2 linked regions of the Neodiprion lecontei genome follow. The protein of the gene in region 1 purifies or fractionates together with the protein of each later gene. This does not show direct contact. Links are inferred from orthologs where the notes say so. Each region holds a gene or a part of one and is shown in the gene's direction. Other genes may lie near its edges.

What was found. Proteins that work in one complex are often made in the same cells at the same time.
Region 2: the proteins of ubiquitin carboxyl-terminal hydrolase 22 (region 1) and transcriptional adapter 1 purify together in Homo sapiens (affinity purification with mass spectrometry; 4 studies listed by BioGRID and IntAct, with this or other methods). This does not show direct contact. The link is inferred for Neodiprion lecontei from reciprocal best matches to the Homo sapiens genes USP22 and TADA1.

What each region holds. Positions count from the first base shown.
Region 1 is NC_060261.1:8,569,437-8,580,709, forward strand, and holds ubiquitin carboxyl-terminal hydrolase 22, read left to right. Parts: upstream 1-3,349; 5' UTR 3,350-4,238; coding exon 4,239-4,358; intron 4,359-6,585; coding exon 6,586-6,718; intron 6,719-7,453; coding exon 7,454-7,669; intron 7,670-7,737; coding exon 7,738-8,152; intron 8,153-8,349; coding exon 8,350-8,913; intron 8,914-9,017; coding exon 9,018-9,075; 3' UTR 9,076-10,644; downstream 10,645-11,273. Other genes in the region: hexosaminidase D, read left to right, coding at 11,271-11,273. UniProt on the Homo sapiens protein: Deubiquitinase that plays a role in several cellular processes including transcriptional regulation, cell cycle progression or innate immunity.
Region 2 is NC_060262.1:34,394,310-34,402,860, reverse strand, and holds transcriptional adapter 1, read left to right. Parts: upstream 1-3,326; 5' UTR 3,327-3,474; coding exon 3,475-3,545; intron 3,546-3,789; coding exon 3,790-3,826; intron 3,827-3,915; coding exon 3,916-4,149; intron 4,150-4,653; coding exon 4,654-4,857; intron 4,858-5,013; coding exon 5,014-5,162; intron 5,163-5,427; coding exon 5,428-5,590; intron 5,591-5,860; coding exon 5,861-5,992; 3' UTR 5,993-6,104; downstream 6,105-8,551. Other genes in the region: mediator of RNA polymerase II transcription subunit 18, read right to left, coding at 2,137-2,587, 2,833-3,038; AP-3 complex subunit mu-1, read right to left, coding at 6,222-6,356, 6,459-6,509, 6,604-6,762, 6,938-7,117, 7,190-7,303, 7,404-7,563, 7,642-7,876, 8,015-8,199 and 1 more. UniProt on the Homo sapiens protein: Probably involved in transcriptional regulation.

The sequences.
Region 1 (11,273 bases):
TTAATTGTATCCTTCCAAGGCTCCAGCAGCCTTTGCCCGCGCAAAATATCGCAAATATACGTGATGAGTGACGAGTAAAAACATATATGCTTATAGTTACGAGAATTCATACTTAGAAAACTCTTAATGCTTTTATCAAGTCGGACTAATGAGGCAGAAAAAAGGCAACGTCAATACGTATATAAATATAAATGTGAAAAAAAGGATAAACATTATGATCTTTCATGGCCAGCTACAAGGTTGTATCTGGGGTTGCATGTATGTATTATAGTGTATATACTCGTACATACATAGAATATAATTATGCGGTTTATATTTAACACGCGAAAAACATCGTTCAATTAGTTTTTACGGTCATGCAACGAGTGACTTCAATATCAATGTTATCATTGAATCTGTAGGTCAAGGTTGGACTATCGTGTAACATCAATGGTCACATATTTACCTCTCCACCAATTCATCCTTATGCTCTAATTTACAACGGGCAGGTCCGAACTTCATTAAGTCTTCGCGCTTCGTGCAGAAGACTCGTGCGAAATATGAAAAGAAAAAGAAGAGAAAAAAAAAAAACATAGCTAAATTTACTTTGATGGCCACACCCTGGACAAACTTGCCGATTCGGGTCACGCCTCACGCAAAAAGGGCAGACAGATCGGAAACCCGATGACATTGTATGAAGCGCACCTTTTTTTTTACCCTCAATTTATTGTCCCGGAAATTATTGCAGAGTATATTTTTGTACCGTATAATTTAACCGAGTTTGAAAAGTTGCGTATAAATAATTAGTAGGCTGGCGGGGCCCTGGGAAATAGTTTAATAGTTACTCTTATATTTCAATTTCTATTATTCGCACTGCTCGTACGGGCGTAACATATTCCCAGGCGTGAGAGTGCTCTTGAATGAATTGCAAAATCTTCGTGCGCAGTTTTACAACTGCAAATAAGCTATGCGATACACGTATTACTTGACTCATGACCGCGTAAATGTGTGTGTGTACATACGTATACACTTGTGCGTATTATAATATATATATAAATTCCAGCCCTGGGTAAATATACCTATATAAAGGCGTAAAGTGACAACGTTTTACTTAAGCAAATGGACGGGCGATTTATCGGAAATACTGCAGTAAAGATTGTCGGACACGTGGATAATCTGAGCGTTTGATACCTACCAAGAAATAATGGAAGCAACGGAAGTACCGAATCAATCAATCAGGTATGCAATTTTAGTGATGCGCACATGCAGAGGGTAATAATAATTATCCAGAGTCGCTGATGATCCGTTGTATCTGAAAATCGATAGTCGTTTTTGGACTCTTTCAATGTAGATATTATAATTATGCTGGTAACAATTAACTTTGATTAATTTTTTTTCAACTTCAGTATTGCTCAGTATTCAGGTTCGAGATTTATCATTTGATATATGGAGTTTCGTGTTTTAATTAAAATGTATTATTTCTCGTGGTTTGTCCTTGGTGATTTCACTCGCTCCAGTCCTCGAAGCTCTGTAAGGTGTCTACGTGTAATACGACACTGATCTTCTTCATTGGCCATATTCATTCCGTAAATGTTTACGTAAAGGCGTATGCAACGCACGATGTTTATCACTTGCAATTAGCATCAACGCTTTGATCATTGAGATTGAAATTATTCTTAATAATAAAAGCAAGGGTATTTTGTTTGAATTCCAGAAAAATTTGACATCAGTCTTATCGTAATATTATATATAGTATATTTATTTATTGGGAAAGCAGAGTTAATATATTTTTATGCATAAAAGTTACAGATTATAAAAATATTAATATATGTCTATTTATTATATGATAAGAAACGTGAAGTCAAAGATACAAGAGTTAAGATAATCCTATAAAAATTCGATTATGATCGTGATCACAATTTAATTTATAATTTCGTATACGCTTCGTACTTATAAATGTAATAGTAATTGCTGTTCACGATTACGCAAACTATACGTAATTATACGTATGCTATAATACGAATAAACAATCGAATATAGAAGATACACGCATATTTTGCACCCCAGCTGTTTCTTTCAATTTCGAAAACACAACTTTTACAACCGTCGGATTAAAATTTCTGACAAACGATTTTAGAAATAAATGGAACTGTTGGATACCCATCCTTTCGAATGATAATAAATTTCTCGTATGACAGTGAAAATAAGATGGTCAAGAAGCATACGATTTTACTATAGGTAGTTCAATTACCTGAAACATTTAAATTTGAACTTTATGCTCGAGTCTTTGTTGTAGAATTAGTCATTATTCTTAAACACAAAAGGTTTAGTTGCTTCATAACGTGGTTTCTATGGCCGTTAAAAGCTTTTCTAACTCAACTCAATCCTCAATAGGCTATTCCTAATTGGAATATTATGTACTTGCGGATTTATTATACGTGTGCAGAATGTATAATGCGGTGAAATTGCATTCGTGGCTGTAGCGTCATTCAAGGCTATGATGCGATCGATTTTGACTCGACATGACTTTGCTTGCGTTCTGAAGTAGGAGAAATTTTTTTTCCCATCTTCAGCGTCAACCGCTTGGTTAAAAAACAAACTCCTGGGATGAGAAAAATTCGTATTCTTTAGCCTGTTTCAAAACAGTTGTGAGTCACGACTAAACTTGGATAATCCCGCCTGTCAATAGTTTATATAATCCAGCGTTCTGAAATATCGTGTATGTTATAAACATTTTCTAGATTATCGGTCGCGCCGATAGCATTTGCTGGTAGCAGTTTACCGTCGGTAAGTCAACTCATTATCCTGCGAGATTATATACCTAAAAACCGCGACGAGCGCCAATAAATTCATGAAAAAACCGCCAGGGAACAGTCCGAGCGTCTAGACCGTTGAAGAGTGGCGGAGGATCTCTTAATTACGACAATCCCACGACCGACGAATTAGGAGGCCCTGAATTTACTCAGAGGCTGGCGATGATGGACATTTTTCTTTCCACAATTCTTCCTTTTCGGGCATTTCAGAACGTAGTGGTCAGTCGACTCTTCTCTCAGTTCACAGGGACGGGCATTTACCGCAATGTCCTGCGAAGCGGCTTTGAAAGGACGTGAATGCATATCGTGCGCAGCTGTTACGAAAAACCACAGCAGGTACCCGGGAGGTGGAAGGACAGATCAGGGACAACCCACGAGAAATTTGATTGGGGTATCCGTGAGCCCCTTTTCACGTCCCCGCAGATGTGACCGGATACGGTTGCTCCGTAGAAAAAATTTTACCCTCAAAAACGAGATGAAAAAAAAAACGTTGGCTGGGTATAAAAAGTGGGATACAGAGAGACGCAGGCTGGGAATGAAAAAAACTAACACGTGTACATGTCTTTATAAGCTTATGCTTATCGACCAATCGTACGATCTGTGCGTAGGCATGATTTGCACTTCACTTTGTCGCCGACCAACAGCGAATTGCATTTGCAGTTATGTGAATTATTGTACTACACGCTGTGTGGTCGTTGATAATTTCTATTGCGAGTTTTTAGTAACTCGCACCTTCTCAACTATCCCATTGTTCATGTTCATACATATACCAGTTCTCTGTCAAAGATATAATAATTAGGGATTTGATTTGTGGAAAAGTTTTCGTAAAACTGTTGAAATCGCGGATGCGATCGAGGAATTGCAGAAAATTCTGAATTTTAGTTGAAAAATCGCGAGAATGAGAAGTAAAGGCTAGCGAAATTGGAACACGTAATACGATGGCGAGTAGTTTTGGAGAGCCCGCATGTTACGCTACTGTCGTCGGCTGGCGCTGGTTGGAGGGGAAAGAGAGAGAAAGAGAAAGAGGATGGCTTCGGTATAGCGACGGAGAGAGACGATGAGTAAAAGAGAGAGACGGAGATGGAGGGAGCGATGGCGACGAGTACCGGTGCTGCAGTAACCGGCTGGCGTCCGTTGCCTCTCGGGTGTCGAAAACGTGGACGAAAAATAGATATTTCATAGATATCTGACGATAGTATATTGTTATCGAAACGCTTCCACTGTTTTATTAACGACAATTGAGCTGGATACATCACGGCTCACCGAGACTTTCCATGTCAACGCCACGCACGCTGTCGAACTGGCGAGCGTGCTACGCCCCGTGGTTACAGACTCGAATTCGTCGGTTTGTTTCTGATATTTTAGTGGTTTTTGAGGATACATCGGTAACGTTACTACCGCCTCGGGAAACCGTCGTAACAACGAGCAAGCCCCCGCAATATTGAGATGAGCGATCATGGCTGCATACACTTGAATAATTTCAAAGCAGCCAAGGGGATACAGCCGTACAAAGTAATACACTCCTATTTCGTGACCAGCACTTCGACCGAGGCACGCGTAAGGAAGGTGCGACATCTTTTTACACATCTCCAAACCTTTAGAGATACTGATAATAGTGTGGAATACCTCCCTTCCCCCCCCCCCCCCCCCCCTCCCCCTATCTATGTTTACAAATAATATATTCCACCATCCCGAATATACTTATGTGTGTACGTCTAAAGGTAAATATTGTACTATCAGTCTGTCACGGCAATTTGAATCAACTATGTTTTGCTCCACCTCTCAGATACGACAGAAAACAAAACACGCTCGATCGCGATAGTGTTTTGTCGCGGACTGCGATCGTCCGGTGTCACAGCCACAGCTACTCCTCGGTCACCTAACTTCACCCGACATTCAAACTTATGCCACACACTCTTGTTCATTCACATTTCCAGCATGGTAGATAGCTACGAGTGTGAATTCGTACTTTACCGACACGCGCCTGTCTCTCTCCCGCTACTCGCATCCGACTAAAACCCCCGATAAAAAAATCATTTTCTTTATTCAATCCAAACTGATGATAATTGAAAAATACATATATACGTCGAGACTTGGTCATGCTGAGAATAACGATGATTCCTTCGTTTTCTTTTTACTCGTTATTACTAAAAACGTACAATATATTATACACTCATCGCGTACTATGACGTGTAAATACCAGATCCACGGATTTTGCTCAGTGTCAGAGTATTCGCGATGTCATTCTTTTAACACTGCGGTCAAGGTATAAGAAATACTAGAAGTGAGGTTACTCGCTTCTCTTCCTATCGTTGTGTATTACAGAAAGAAACGAGTGATTATCATAATTCCTATCAGAAATCACGGACTCTTAAAGATTTAATGCAAATTTCCTACTCGTGTCCCGATATTTCCCGAATTTTCCACTCCTTGATCTTTCATTCTATTTTCTTTCTCTTTTTCGTTAATTTGCATATTCTCAATTTCTCGATCGACCTGCAGTCGCTTCAGCGCTTACCATTTTCAATTTATTATAATCATACCTTTTATCTGATATACCTATGACTATATTGTTTTAGCAATCATTTTGCTCGTCAGTCGTAATAGACGGCGAATCTTTTTTTCTCGTCCTGTATGTCACCCCCCTCCCCTTTCGCTTCTTCTCGTTTTCTGTCGAATTTTTCCACTCGTCGAACAGGTGTGGACATTATATTCCTTTGCCCGACACGAAATTATGTTTACACGCTATAATAACGCCGTCTATACTTGCTCTTCATATTTGTGAAATATGTGTTCCTTGTATTCAAAAAATGGTGTGCATGCATGGGTCACATATACCACATTTATGACTGTGTACAAAGCAGAAGTTTAACTCGATATACATGTTGCAACAATGATATCTCATGGATGGAATTTTTTATTTCATTTTTTTTGTCATCTATTGGTCGAAAATCAATAATGTTAATCAACGTATAACTAAATGCATATCAATTAATCTTTATTAAAGAAATTAATTAAACCGCAGAAAGATTGAGTTCAATTTTTAAATTGAGATCAATTTATATGTTCCAAGATGATCATGGCACAGTATTGTTAACAAAATTATGCCACACGTGATCAGCTATAAATTAAGATTTTATTCATAAAAAACAGTACAAATCTAAAACAAATCTTCTTTGATTATGATGTTCATAATTTCATTACATGTGCAAGCTACTCATATTAATGTTCAGTTAATTGAGGAGAGCAAATGACTGTGCATTGTCGATAATGTATCATATCAAAAAGAAAAAATATAATCATATGCGGGCAATATGAGTCAGTGTAAGATAATAGAAAGGAAATTTGTGAGCTGATTGTGAGACATTTAGTTGTTTAGTCATTAAAATAAAAATAAGATAATCATTTACGGTGTACTATTAGATAATATAATTGATTCATCTGTTTGTTGTTAGAACTCAGGCTATGTTCCATTTATCTCTGGTTAAATAAATGCATTTCTTTCATTTATTATAATTATTCTTGTATCTTAATTTCACTATCCTTTTACTAATAAAAAAAAAAAAGAAACTCTTATTTGCATAATATTCTTTGAACCCGCACTAAAATTAAAAGTGAAGCGGATCATACCAATTATTAATCAGTTCAAGTATCCTATTAAAGAAATATTTAATTTTTAAGGATCTGCAACGTAGTCATAATTTTGACAGTAATTAAGTGTAAGCAGCAAATTATAAGCAGCGATATAGTCCGTTGGTTGTCATTATTATTCTTTTTCTCCTTTTCTTTACAGGCAGTGAGCTGCTTGTGTCACACCTGTAAAACTTACAAGGATCGCCTTCACTCGTGTTTGCACTGCATTTTTTTTGGCTGTTATTCGAAAGGACACATACAAGAACATGCCAAGACCAAAAAACATTTTCTAGGTAATATTGTCTGTCACATGAACCAGGTTTTCATCTAAATCATTTAGAAAATATCAAGTCTATTCCACATCTCGTCCGCCATAAATGATATAGTACCTCTTTCTCACATTGATAAAAAATAAAAATCAAATTTCGACGCAATCAGTTTTAAAAATAAAATAGAAAAATAAAAAATTTGATAAGAATAGAACAATAATTATGTAACAAATACCCAAGATGATGACAGAAAATTAGATACACATGCCTGTAATATTAATAGGATATTGGCAGGTTTTACTCGAAGCACGTAGAAGGGACATATATACCCAGTCTATAGTATTTATTTATAGAAATAGGTATATTTTGAGCATAATTTAGGATATTTTTTCATACTGACTCCATATTGTTTATCTTATAAATCACACAATTTTAACTTTGCTCTAATTTCAAGGGCTGTTGCTGGTATTAAAATAGGTAGGGACCTATTTATAGCCGGAGGACGAATAAACTATTATAACTATTTACTGTCTAGCATTAAGTAACAAACTTTTCTAGAACTAAACAGACGTTGAATATATATTTGTCTTACTGAAACATTGTAATTTACTTGTTTTTACTGTATTGCAAAATTCCAACATCTGAACAGGTTTTGATTTGAAAATATCAGTGATGTACTCTTTTATAGCATATTTAAATATAAGTGAAATTGATAATCTTACTTGACGATATACAAAGAAATTGAATTTGAAATTACAGCCGTTGATCTATGCTACGGCAACATATTATGCTTCCAATGTGGGGACTACGTGTACGACAGGGAATTAACAGCGGTTGCAAAGTCACAGTGGAGCCAGTCGGCGAGGTCACTTAGTTTGGGAGAGTTTTATAGAGCCTGGGAACCGACGCAAGTTGAGGCGGACTTGTTGAGAAAAAATCCACGACGTCGACGTATCGTGGAAAATTCCACTATAGGTAAGGAAATATTGAGAGTCGATTCCCACACTCCTGACTGTTTAATATATGTAGAAACAATTTTTCAGGTCTGAGAGGTCTGATAAACCTCGGTAGTACTTGTTTCATGAACTGCATAGTGCAGGCGTTGATACATACGCCTCTTCTTCGGGACTATTTTCTAGCTGATCGACATCATTGTCCCCAGCCAAGCCGTTGTCTTGTTTGTGAAGTATCGCACCTTTTCCAAGAATTTTATTCCGGCAACAAGGCTCCCTTGACACTTCATAAACTGCTTCATCTAATTTGGACACACGCCAGGCATTTAGCTGGCTATGAACAGCAAGATGCACATGAATTCTTTATTGCAACGCTAGATGTACTCCACAGGCACTGCGAGGCTGCCCCTATTTTGGTCAAAGACAACCCTCATCATTGTAATTGTATTATAGATCAAATATTTACCGGAGGATTGCAAAGTGATGTTGTCTGCCAAGCGTGCAAGTAAGGAAGGGTTTTAGGTTGATATTACAAATCCGATTAGGGTAACAAGCTTTCCACGTCAACCGATCCAATATACTTTAGTCAAGAATCAATTATCCTAGGTCAATAGCGAAGCTGACGTTGATGTAAAGGGCTTTACCGGCACTCGAAAAAAATGGCCGATCGCATAAGTGAACTGATAATAATTAACTTTTCAGTGGAGTATCGACTACGATTGATCCTTTTTGGGACATCTCCCTGGACTTGGGCCCCACTGCTGGAGCATCGGGGCCTGACAGTTCCGGTCCACCTACCTCGTTATTAGACTGCCTAGAACGTTTTACACGTGCCGAACACTTGGGATCAAGTGCGAAGATAAAATGTAGTAATTGCCAAACTTACCAGGAAAGCACAAAACAATTAACTATGAAACAGCTACCCATTGTTGCCAGCTTTCACTTGAAGAGATTCGAACATTCTAGCATTCAGGATAAAAAGATATCGACCTTTATAGCCTTCCCTGAACAGTTGGACATGACTCCTTTTATGTCTCATAAAAGAAATGGTAATAACAACACCACGATAGATAGCTTTCCGAAAAATGGCGAAGACACTGCCTTCGGTGATAACAGGTATTCGCTCTTCGCTGTTATCAACCACGAGGGATCGTTGGAAACTGGTCATTACACAGCGTTTATTAGACAGCAGAGAGATCAGTGGTTCAAATGTGACGATCATCTAATAACTAGGGCAAAATTGAAGGACGTGTTAACTAGCGAAGGGTAAGTAGATTAAGACTCCTTGTTGAATTTGAGTAAAAATAAAATTTCGAACGCATGTTTGTGTAATAATTAATTTTTTTATTCATTAAAATAAAATATTGCAGGTACCTCCTTTTTTATCACAAGCAGATCCTCGAGTATGGAAAAAACAGTAAAGTATAAAACCCAAATCATGTAATTAAATTATTTATCTTGACAACGATAAGTCAGGCGATAGATTTTAAGTTGATTAGGTTTATTACACGTCGTATATAGGTTGGATTCTACATATTCTAACTTGATATTTCAGCATTTTTTTTTTCGAACCTTCTTATGATTATGCGAGCGGTTGAACGATTACTTTAAAATATATTGCGTATTTATTTCTCAAAATATACTTGCATCAGTTTTAATGTAAAAAAAATTAGGAGTATAAATAATTTAAATCACAATAATCATAATAATTTATAATAACTGTTTAGTTTTACAACTACTTAATTACAACTTTTACCTTCATGACATATTATTAGGGACAAAGTGATTGGCTGCAAAAACTTTCTTAAAATATATCGTAATCATAATTTATGACTACCGATAGCTAACGTAAAAGTATATCGCTGTAGTTTTAATGGAAACTAAGTGGATTAATTGTAGGATTTGCAGAACGCCAATTCACTGTACGTATATTTCAATATTTATTCAATCATCTTCCATTTGTCAAATGATTACTCGAGCCTACTTAATCTACTACTGTCAATCCGCGGATTCCGTAGAATTCGTTAATGTGTCGTCGACTCCGATCCACCGAGTTAAGAACTGACTGATATCCGCTTCACAGACGGAAGTGGAATGATTACAGGAAAAGTTTTGCTATTTGTGTATGTATATTTACGGTTTATTTCTGTTGAAGTATTATTAGCAGACTCTGTAATCCCTAATACTCTCGTGCTTTACGGATCTTATATCGATAAATGGACAAACTAAGGATAATAAATATTTGTATTGTTCGAACGAAACTCACAAATGAAATATTAAGCGAAGTATCACAGCTGTAGTAGGTATATTTGCTATTATGTTATCAACATAAAGACGATTAAAGTCCTACTAACGATGTTACAGCTGGATTTTGTTGTCCAGTTACGTAAGAATTAGTTTTCTAAGATTAGCTCAATTTTTTTTAAATTGCCAAAAATATCGCAATTTTTGTATATCGATGACTAATGTTGTATCTCCTCCCCTCCCCCCTTCCCCCCCTCCCTCCCTCTCCCTTACGATTTACATACATAAACATTATACATATGCGTGGCTGATCCATTTTATTGAAGTTTACCAAGGAATTCCATTTATTAATGATCGATTGACTGTGCTCACTATTCTATATTATAACTCCATGAAATCATGTTACTCTATGGATCTCTTTAATTAAAAATAAATTTAAATGCTGACTTTTTCGAGTTATTGTGATCACTACTGAATAGTTAAAGTAACTTGTATAGAATTCGTAGTACGCGGTCTTTGGAATATGCCTGATAAACTAACTAACTGACTAACTTCAATTCATGCAATGTGGAACTACTGTGCATACACGTATAGTGATTAATTAAGAACAAATGAATTTTGTACAAATAAAATAGCTTTGATGAAGTGACTGTATTTCGATGCGACGATTGACGATGATGATGATTTACGTCCAACTGTGTATATTAAATTATAATTTGAATAAATTTCTGGTCGCTAATTGTAAATTTTAAATTTGAACATTTTTTAATTTATTGTTATTATGGGTTCAATATTACTAAATAACGTCTGTATTTAAACTTAATTGTGCAGTTTTTTTGCATACTAGTTATTCGAAATATGAGCTTGGATAAAAAATGAATTAAAGTACACATACATTGCAGGTGATTTTAGAATTAGAAATATTTCTAATTTTGTCCAAAATAAACAACCTGTTATAATTTGATAGTAATCCGAATTGTACGAAACTCAAGTTTACTATGTAGTAGGTTTTGCTTATTTTCGCAATATCTACTACGTAATAAAGTTGAACAGGAAAGCTGACTGATTGTAGAATATCAGAAAACAAATTTACCGCCACGCTAATTTGAATCACAGATAAAACTGGCGCTGAAAGTACTCAGCTTGACACTTGAATTGAACACGTCATCAACGACGTTGTTCACCACTGTTCACCACGTGGTTATTCCCGATGTTTTCAGCTGAATATCGCGTTCAATCATTTGAGCCGCGAAATGAACAGGAATAAAACGAAATTTGATAATTATGCTGACACGCGTAAAAATTTGATGATTGGTTTAACTATGCGGACAGAGTAAAGGACTGCAAAATAATTCCATGATGATACGAATGTTTCAAAGATG
Region 2 (8,551 bases), on another chromosome or scaffold:
ATATGAATCGAGATGCGAGTTTCTGATGTTTCTCAGATTTTTCGCATAGTTCCGCAAGCAGAAACATATTTGCGACATACCGGTGGTAATAGCCACATTGATATATAATAATTTTTTTCAAAGATCAGTACTGGATAGTTGTTGGTACAAAATCTGCCCACTAAATTTCACTATAAGCGTCGTCAGTGTTCCTTTTACACCTATGCGTGATTGGTTGCAGGGATGCCCAAGATCCACTAATCGATCGGCGATCTTGAAATGTAATTCATAGAAAGTTATACTCCCTTCACTGTCTTCGGTGTTTACAGAACACCAGTGCCAGTTTATTTCAGGCAGGAATTTGTTTACGTGGAGTTGTCTCCTTATAGTTCAGTAAAGACGTGTTTACACAGTGCTAGAAATCGGACCGATTTCTCGGACCGAAAAAAAGTTACCAGAACTCGTATCGCGTATACAGCAAACTTGGACGTAAATCGTGGATCGAAAACGCGGATGAAAAAATGGATCGCGTCCCATTATTCATCCGCATTTTCGATCCACAATTTACGTCCGAGTTTGCTGTATACACGATACGAGTTCAGAGGGATGGGCGATGTTAGTATAAAATAGCGACATCCTATTGTCGATTGTTTTAATTCTACTACCAGTCTACTATCGATGTTCTTTTAAAAACATCGGAACATCGATTGTTATCATCGGTGACGAATAAAAGCGCGAAAAATTCAAAAATTTTAGATACAATTGTAGACAGAATAATGAACGCAGAAATTTCAAGTTTTGAATTATCATTATTATTCAAAATAAAAATAAAATATGAGAACTAAATATAAATTACATTGGATAAAATTAAATTATTGAAACATTCTAATTAACAGTGAGAAATTTAATAGAAAAGTTCTATAGATGAGTTACCGACAGATGTTGGCACAGAAATTCAATTTATTCCTGACATAATGATGTCGATAGTCCAATATTTTCCATCGATTATCGATATATCGACTTTAAAACCCATCAATCAAAAACATTGATACTCGAAACATTGATGTGGGTGCATAATCGTTACCTGATCGACAACGCGAAGCCATTTGAGTTATCAATATCCACGGATTCATTTTCAATAACGCAACTCTCGACTCTCCATTCCCAGTTAATCTAGTTAAAATGGCCCGAGAATTTTGCATCGGTTCTTTTCTTTAACCATTAAGGATTATTTACTAAACGATTTAATACTAACTAATTTTTTTATTTACCTTCCAGCATTTACAAATTGCTAGACTACCTCATAGTACTTTTTTCACTCTGCCTTCCTAACTGGGAGGAAATGGTTAGTCAATATTAAAAGGATATCAAGTACCATTACCTAATCCTTAAAATTCCGGTTGAAAGGTACGATCCAATGTGGCTTACAATTAGTGACCCTTACACTCATTATCTCTCTTCACATTGTTATTTTGCTGCCCAGCCAATCTCATACTGCATCCATTAGTCCTACATCCCTGAGCAAATGATTGGTATAGTCCTGCCTTATCATAGACATAGTACAAACTTTCAACCATCCCTCAAATTACATGCTGCAGGTGTTTGACAATCATAACAGATTATCAGGAAATCACGTATCTTCTAGTATCCCTTTTATCATGCTCATCACACTTTTGCAATAATCACAAGAGTTCATATTTATTGAGTTCGGTAGGTGTTGGAGATTTAAAAATGAGATTGAGTTCAATTTCAGTTGCGAGTACTTATTCATTATTTTAAAATACTTTACTTCATTCGAAGAGTTAAAAATTAGTAGTTTCTGTATCATAACATGACTAATTGTAGCATCGATGTCGGATCTTTATTGGACTTTGTTCAATACTTTACAAATTCATTCTAATTTTATGGATCTGATTCAAATGTAAATATCCAATAGTACAATATAAAAAATCTCTATGGGTCATTGCAGTAGGAAATATTGAAATAATACTTGCATAAAGATTCCTCTTGAAAATTCGCAATAAGAGAACTACGATGTATTATCATTTCTGCTATATAGTTCTCGCACACTGAAATCTGAAAAGACAACATTGTACCCAATTGTATATTAGGAACTATTCATCAGTGATTCATTTATGGACACTGATTCTAAACCCCCTAATGACTCAGTCGTTTATAATCAATTTTTTCAAGCTGAACTAAAGGTCTTAACTGTTCGGCGAATATTCTCATGTCTTCAGCTATTGCATCTTGTCCACGTGGAGCAAGCACGCTCAATTCGACCAAGTAGCTTTGAGATATGGGTTCTACATTATCCGGTATTTTCACTTGAACCATTTTAAATATTTTTGCTACAGTTACTTTCATTCTACCCTTTCGGAACATGTATCCCTGTACAATATACTCAAAATCTATTCTACATCCCAATTCTGTGAGGAATTCAACAACTGTACTGCTTGTTGCAATGTCTATACTGCTTCGCACTATTGTCGGTCTAGACTTGTCACCTAGCTCGGGTTGTCCGATGTAACGTAGCTGCCAAGGCATATCCTGATGATCTAAGGCTCTTCTCACCCTCAGCGACAATGGTTGTTCTGGCGGAGGACCTCTGAAAGGTTAAAATTTATATTTGAAATGCTCTTCTTTTTTAAAACACAAAGTAAATTTTTAAATTTTGCTGGAAGAAAATAATGGCTCATTATATTATTATCGTGAAATATAAATTGTCACAATAGGCAAGTTACAATTTTAAAGCCGCATCTGAAACCTAGAAAATATGCAAACAATGTGAAGTACTAAGCACTCTGGGTGAATAACGACAATGTATACCAGCAAAAAGAGAATGAGATTTACCTCCTGATACTGAAACACATTTCATGATCACGAAAAGTCTCCGGCCTACTATCAACGTTATCGCACAATCCTCTCAATCTTTGCAATAAGACTTCCACCGCACTGTCCATAACCGAACCTTGCAGAAGGTATTCTTGGTTTGGTATTATATTCGACTTTACAGCAGCATTTAAGCTGTCCATCGCTGTACTTATTTGACTTGCCATTTTGGCAGAGTATTTAATTATACTTTCTACTGCGGTATGTTAATGGATTTGTCGCTACAGAATGGGGTAAATTGTCATTGTCCGATCGTCGTATTTGGTCTCTTTGCGAGGTTAAGTCACTGCAGCCTGCATACAGTCAATTTTCCCTGTTCCCAACAAATTGTCAACAATCATTGTCGCCAACCTTGTGATTGAAATTTATTAAACTTTGATGCGCGCGCATCTGACGCACTCAACGTTCACAAATCTGCACAAAATTGCTTTCTCGTTTGCACGCAACAATGTCACGATGTAAGAGGAACAATATAACAACTTTATACGATCGTGTTAGTGAGTTCGCTTATGTTGTTAGGTGTCGAAATGTCAATGTAAGAGTCGCGTGCAAATAGATGTCTGTTTATTGTCACAAAATAAATTCGAACGGTTCGATTGCGGTATGACATCGTCGAAAGAGTTGACCGTAGCAAGAAAAAGCCTTGTCGCATCGCTAGGTGATAACGCAAAACTGTAAGTTTGTTTTTATGTCACTCAACATTATGTGTGCAATGTGTGTATACAATTTGAGCTCAATTACCTTTTGTAAATATTGCGACAACCTGATCTTGGTATGATACTGTAATAACTGATTATACTAATACAGCGGTTAAAAACCTTTCTGATCTGTCACTTTGAATTCACCCTTTACTGATTTCCTTGGAATCGCAATGGACTTTGGGTGTACACATACTTAATTATCATATTGTGGTTACAGGTACTTTGAAAAAATGAAGCTGTGGTTTCAGATGAAGGTACACCAATATCTTACCTGAGTCTTGATATCCAAGAATCGTTTTGCTACTTTTTTTTTTTTAATCATACACTTATTTGATTTTCTCAGACAACTAAAGAAGAATTTGACTGCGAGGCGCGCAACATTATGACTGAGGATCAAGTCCATTTGCACAATGAATTTCTACTCTGCTTGTTCAACAAAGTACAGGGGTTAGCGTCTGTGACAACAGTCCGAACTAACAAACACAATCATACAAATGCTCATCTTGATAAAGAAAAAATGCTAGAGAAAAGGCTGCGATTGAAACGAAAATATAAAACAGACAAATCAAATTTTGAAGTAAGAAGCTGTTTTGGAATAATATTAAAAAATCCGTGATTAACCATATAGTGCCAGTACTCGGATTCAGTTGAAGAATATTATTTTTTAAAACTGCTATACATATTTCAGTTAAAATTTTGTAAAAATTTAGTTTTAAACATTTTTGCCATTAATTACCTGTCGATGAACTTATGATTTCAAGACCTTAGGATACCAGAGAGCCTGTAACTCTCTTCCAAAATGTTTGATTAAAATTCATGAACTCATAAATAAAAATTGCCATTTTGCCAAATTAGTGAATGTGCGATAGCAGGCACTATAGTGTTAAATGGGTATCTGTTAGGAATTTGATATTTTATTGCTAACATATAGAAGTATTCATTCATTATTGGTCTCTGGAAATATGTATAAAGTGGCCATAAGGCTGTGTCAAATATTTGAAAGCAGATATTTTTGTATGAAAAAAAAGCAAATACAACCTGAGAAAATTTATGTTAAGAATATAAAAGCTGCATATTTCAGCCTGCAGATGTCTACGTTGAAGTCTTGGGCCAAAGTTCGTCGCTGGTTGGAGACGAACCTATAGGTGCCAATCATTCCAGCGCGCAAGAGCTTTTGCTGCCAGATCGTACCTTCGTTTTAGCTAGACTAATGCTTGCTGCATGGGAGAATAATATGGATGGAGCTGAAGAAAATACAGCTCAAATAATTATAGCTGCTACTCAGGTACGAATATGCTATAGCTACGAGTATTTTGCTATACTGAAGTAATCAGATTGTGCAATGTTCTGGATTCGGGAAAGTACATTGTTTATTCTATTCTTCAGTCGGTTTTACCCATGATGTGAGTGAAAAATAACAACCCAATTCTCATACTTACAGGTATTTCTCAAAAATATACTCACAGCCGTAATAACTCGACGGAAAGGTTTCTCGGTGCGAGAAGGATCATTTATTCATAACATAGGTGAACCAGTACCCAGTTCATGGACCAGAAATACATCCTACATAACCAACACGTCAAATTTTAGGTACAGCATAGATTCATATTTATGAATAAAATCGGAATAGGCTGGAAGTAGGGACTAATGTTACATTTTGCATAAGATCGTTACTTTAGTGCTTATTCCCTTATTTCTGAAATTTTTTTGTACCGATTTGACTTCTTCGAATTTCAATCATAGTTTAAAGCCTCCTATTTATTTTCTAATTTGATAGAGTATGTAAAAGGATAGTGCTAGATTTTCCGTAAATTTCATGTGTGCGTCTATAACGAATAATATATGAATTATCCAGTATGGCTACAAATATAGTGGAGCCTGAAGGACAAGTACCTGCAATGAAGCAAACACTCGAAGAAGCGGAACAAGCAAATGCATTTGCATTGGCATGTTCAACACAAACTACCTCACCGACTCCCGATCCTGTTAATGTGGCTAATCTTCAAAAAGCATTGAAGGTATGAGTTTGATGAATATATTTGTTACGGTGTGTTAATTAAATATGCCTAAATATTCGGATGAGTATAACAACAAACCAATTCTTGGAAAAAATAACAGGATATAAATTTTGAAACTCACAACTGTTTACTGTCTTGAATGAGATCATTAATCTTACGTAAATACGTTGAATTAGTGAAAATATAGGACATTTCTCCAATGTTTTTCACCAAATATTTGCATCACTACACTGTTGCATTATGCATATACTTGACAATATTTGACCATAGATCCACAAGAATCTCATCAACAATCATACAATTTATGCAACTAATATGGAACGTCTACATACATATGCTACGCACCCAACCTGGGAAGATTTGGAGGCAAGGAAAATACTGTGTAAAAATTTAAGAACGTGACAAAAGAAGTAGAATTTAGAGTAGTGCAAAATAATTGTTAAACGTAAGTTGTTCTGTTGTTTTCGTTTGTAAGTTAATGGCAGATTTCGATAGTGGAAGAATTATTGGTAAATCTAGGAGCAAAAATATTGAGGTTTTGATGGTACCAGAATTGTATTAACTCACAAAAATTTGTAATAAGTAATATATTTTCTACCTTTGATATATTAAAATTGATAGCGGTGGGGATTCACATTCTGATTTGAAATCTACCAGCTTTTGTAATATATTTTACACCTTTGAACGGCTTATATTTTTCACCATACATGTCGAGCCTGTTTACTTTCAAGCCAGACACAGCAAGCTGGTTGATTGTGAAATGAACCTAAAAGTAAAAGCGTTTAGAACGATTCCTTATTAGACGTCATTACGAGTATACGAAGTTGAGACAATGCTAAAATAAACTTGTTATGATAATGAGACTTACATTGATAGCAGGATTTGATTCTGTGACGGTCGCCCCATTTTGAATAGTGATCTTGAAAATTAAGAAATGACAACAATGAAGTCAGTCAAAATTTTGTTTTTTGTAGTATTATTAGTATTGTTGAATTTTTTCTATTGCAACTTACACTTCCTCGAAGATTGGGCAATTTCGCAACATCTATTCTTCCAATATCCCACACAAGTACTTTACTGACTGGATCAAAAGAGTACTTTCCTTGATTGGGTACCAAACTACAATTTAATACTGATTTTGGCATGGGAATTTCGATATTAACATTTTCTACCTAAAAAAGAGAATTAAGCAATATCAATCACAACCCTTGTCCTTATCTTGATCCGTAAATATCAGATATAATGTATGAAATTAACACAGCATAAAAATAGTTTTACGAACTGCAAGTCACTTACAGTTTTTTTCAAACATATTCAAAGCTTAAAAGATTGCATAAAATTGCTTACAGTTCGTCCAACAGTTTGTTTAGGCCCAACTGTAATATCCAATCTGCCGCCACCAGATTCCTTTAGGCTTATATTATGCCTTACGTATATAGGAATTGCCACAATACTTTGCGACCCGATATGGTAGGACAGAAGTCGGAAGTTACCATCTGGTGGAATGAAGGACAATATTCTCTCGGACTAAAATAGTATAAGTTATTCTGCCTGTGAGTCAATATTGTTTACATTTATGTTATAAATGTAGACACAAACCTCCCATCGCTTGAACCTAACACATGGATGGAAGCTGACATCATCAAATAATCTTGGATTCATGAATGAAAGTGTGAGATCAGGCATGCCACTCAATTTAATACAGCAATCAATCTGAAAATTAATATTGCCTTGTTATCATATGATTCATTAAGAGCTTCCATTTCTGGTTTATGAGAATTTCTTTTACAAAATATAACTTTACGATTCATACATAGCCTTGGATTTCTGCAAAAACTGTTGCCCCAGTTTTGTCAATTATAGCATCAACTTCCTCAACAACATCGAAGTAAGCTTCATTATTTGTGTATTTAACACCCGTTCTTCGCCAGGGTACATTTGACAATTGGCCACTTGGCAAGATTGCACTCACACTGAAAATTGTACAATATGGTAAGCGACTGTCAGTATTACTGTACTCATAGCAGTAGTAGTAATGTTATTTTACTTACTTAGACTTCCCTGTTACGGTATTAGCTATCGTTCTTAAAATATTGGGTGGTTTAATCAGTTCTTTGAGGATATTTGATTCTGTCGCCAATGGAAAACCATTGTCTAACATTTCGTCCAACAATTCATAAACAACAACATAATTCTCTTTTATTATTGTTTCTGTACATTCACTGAAGTAGTCTTCAAACGTGTCTACTACTCTGTGTAAAAACTCGATAACAAACAGTGGCGGAACTGAAACAGTCGATAAGTATGTAATATTTACCAGCAGCGTGAGAATTATAACTGTAATTAACCAATGTAACAAAAATGATGAGATCACATTAAAATTAGCAAAGATATAATACTATGAAGCATTTAGCAACAGCGTACCTTCCGTCATACACACAGCGACAAAAAACATATTGCAGCGATATATGCTGATCAAATAATGATGCGGTGTTGCAATAACTGGTGGCGTGTCTTCAGGTGAAGAAACTCTACGTTGTTGGTCAAAAAAATAATCACACAGGGATCGCGCGACCGCACTTTTCCAATGTTTTTCCATAAATACATCTCTGAAAGGTGACAAATTTTTAGGCTATGTCACGGTTATTTCTCAGGTTTATGAACTAACTTGTTATATAGAAACAAACTTACCCTGATGAATTTATTATAAATAAACTGTGAATCATTTTCTCCTTGATGGCTGAGAAGAATAACTCAACTCGGAGTTATTCTGAGGAAACTTTAATATGTTGACAGGTAAGTGACACTTGGATGGTTTGAGACACGGTGAGTTTATCTCGTATTCTTAAGCCTCGTTCACACCCCCATTTTGCAGTACAGATATCTGCAGCAAATGAATATCTGGCGTGTCTCGTAACGGTCAAGTCAATATGTAGATCCTGGTAACAAAATGCGCCGGTT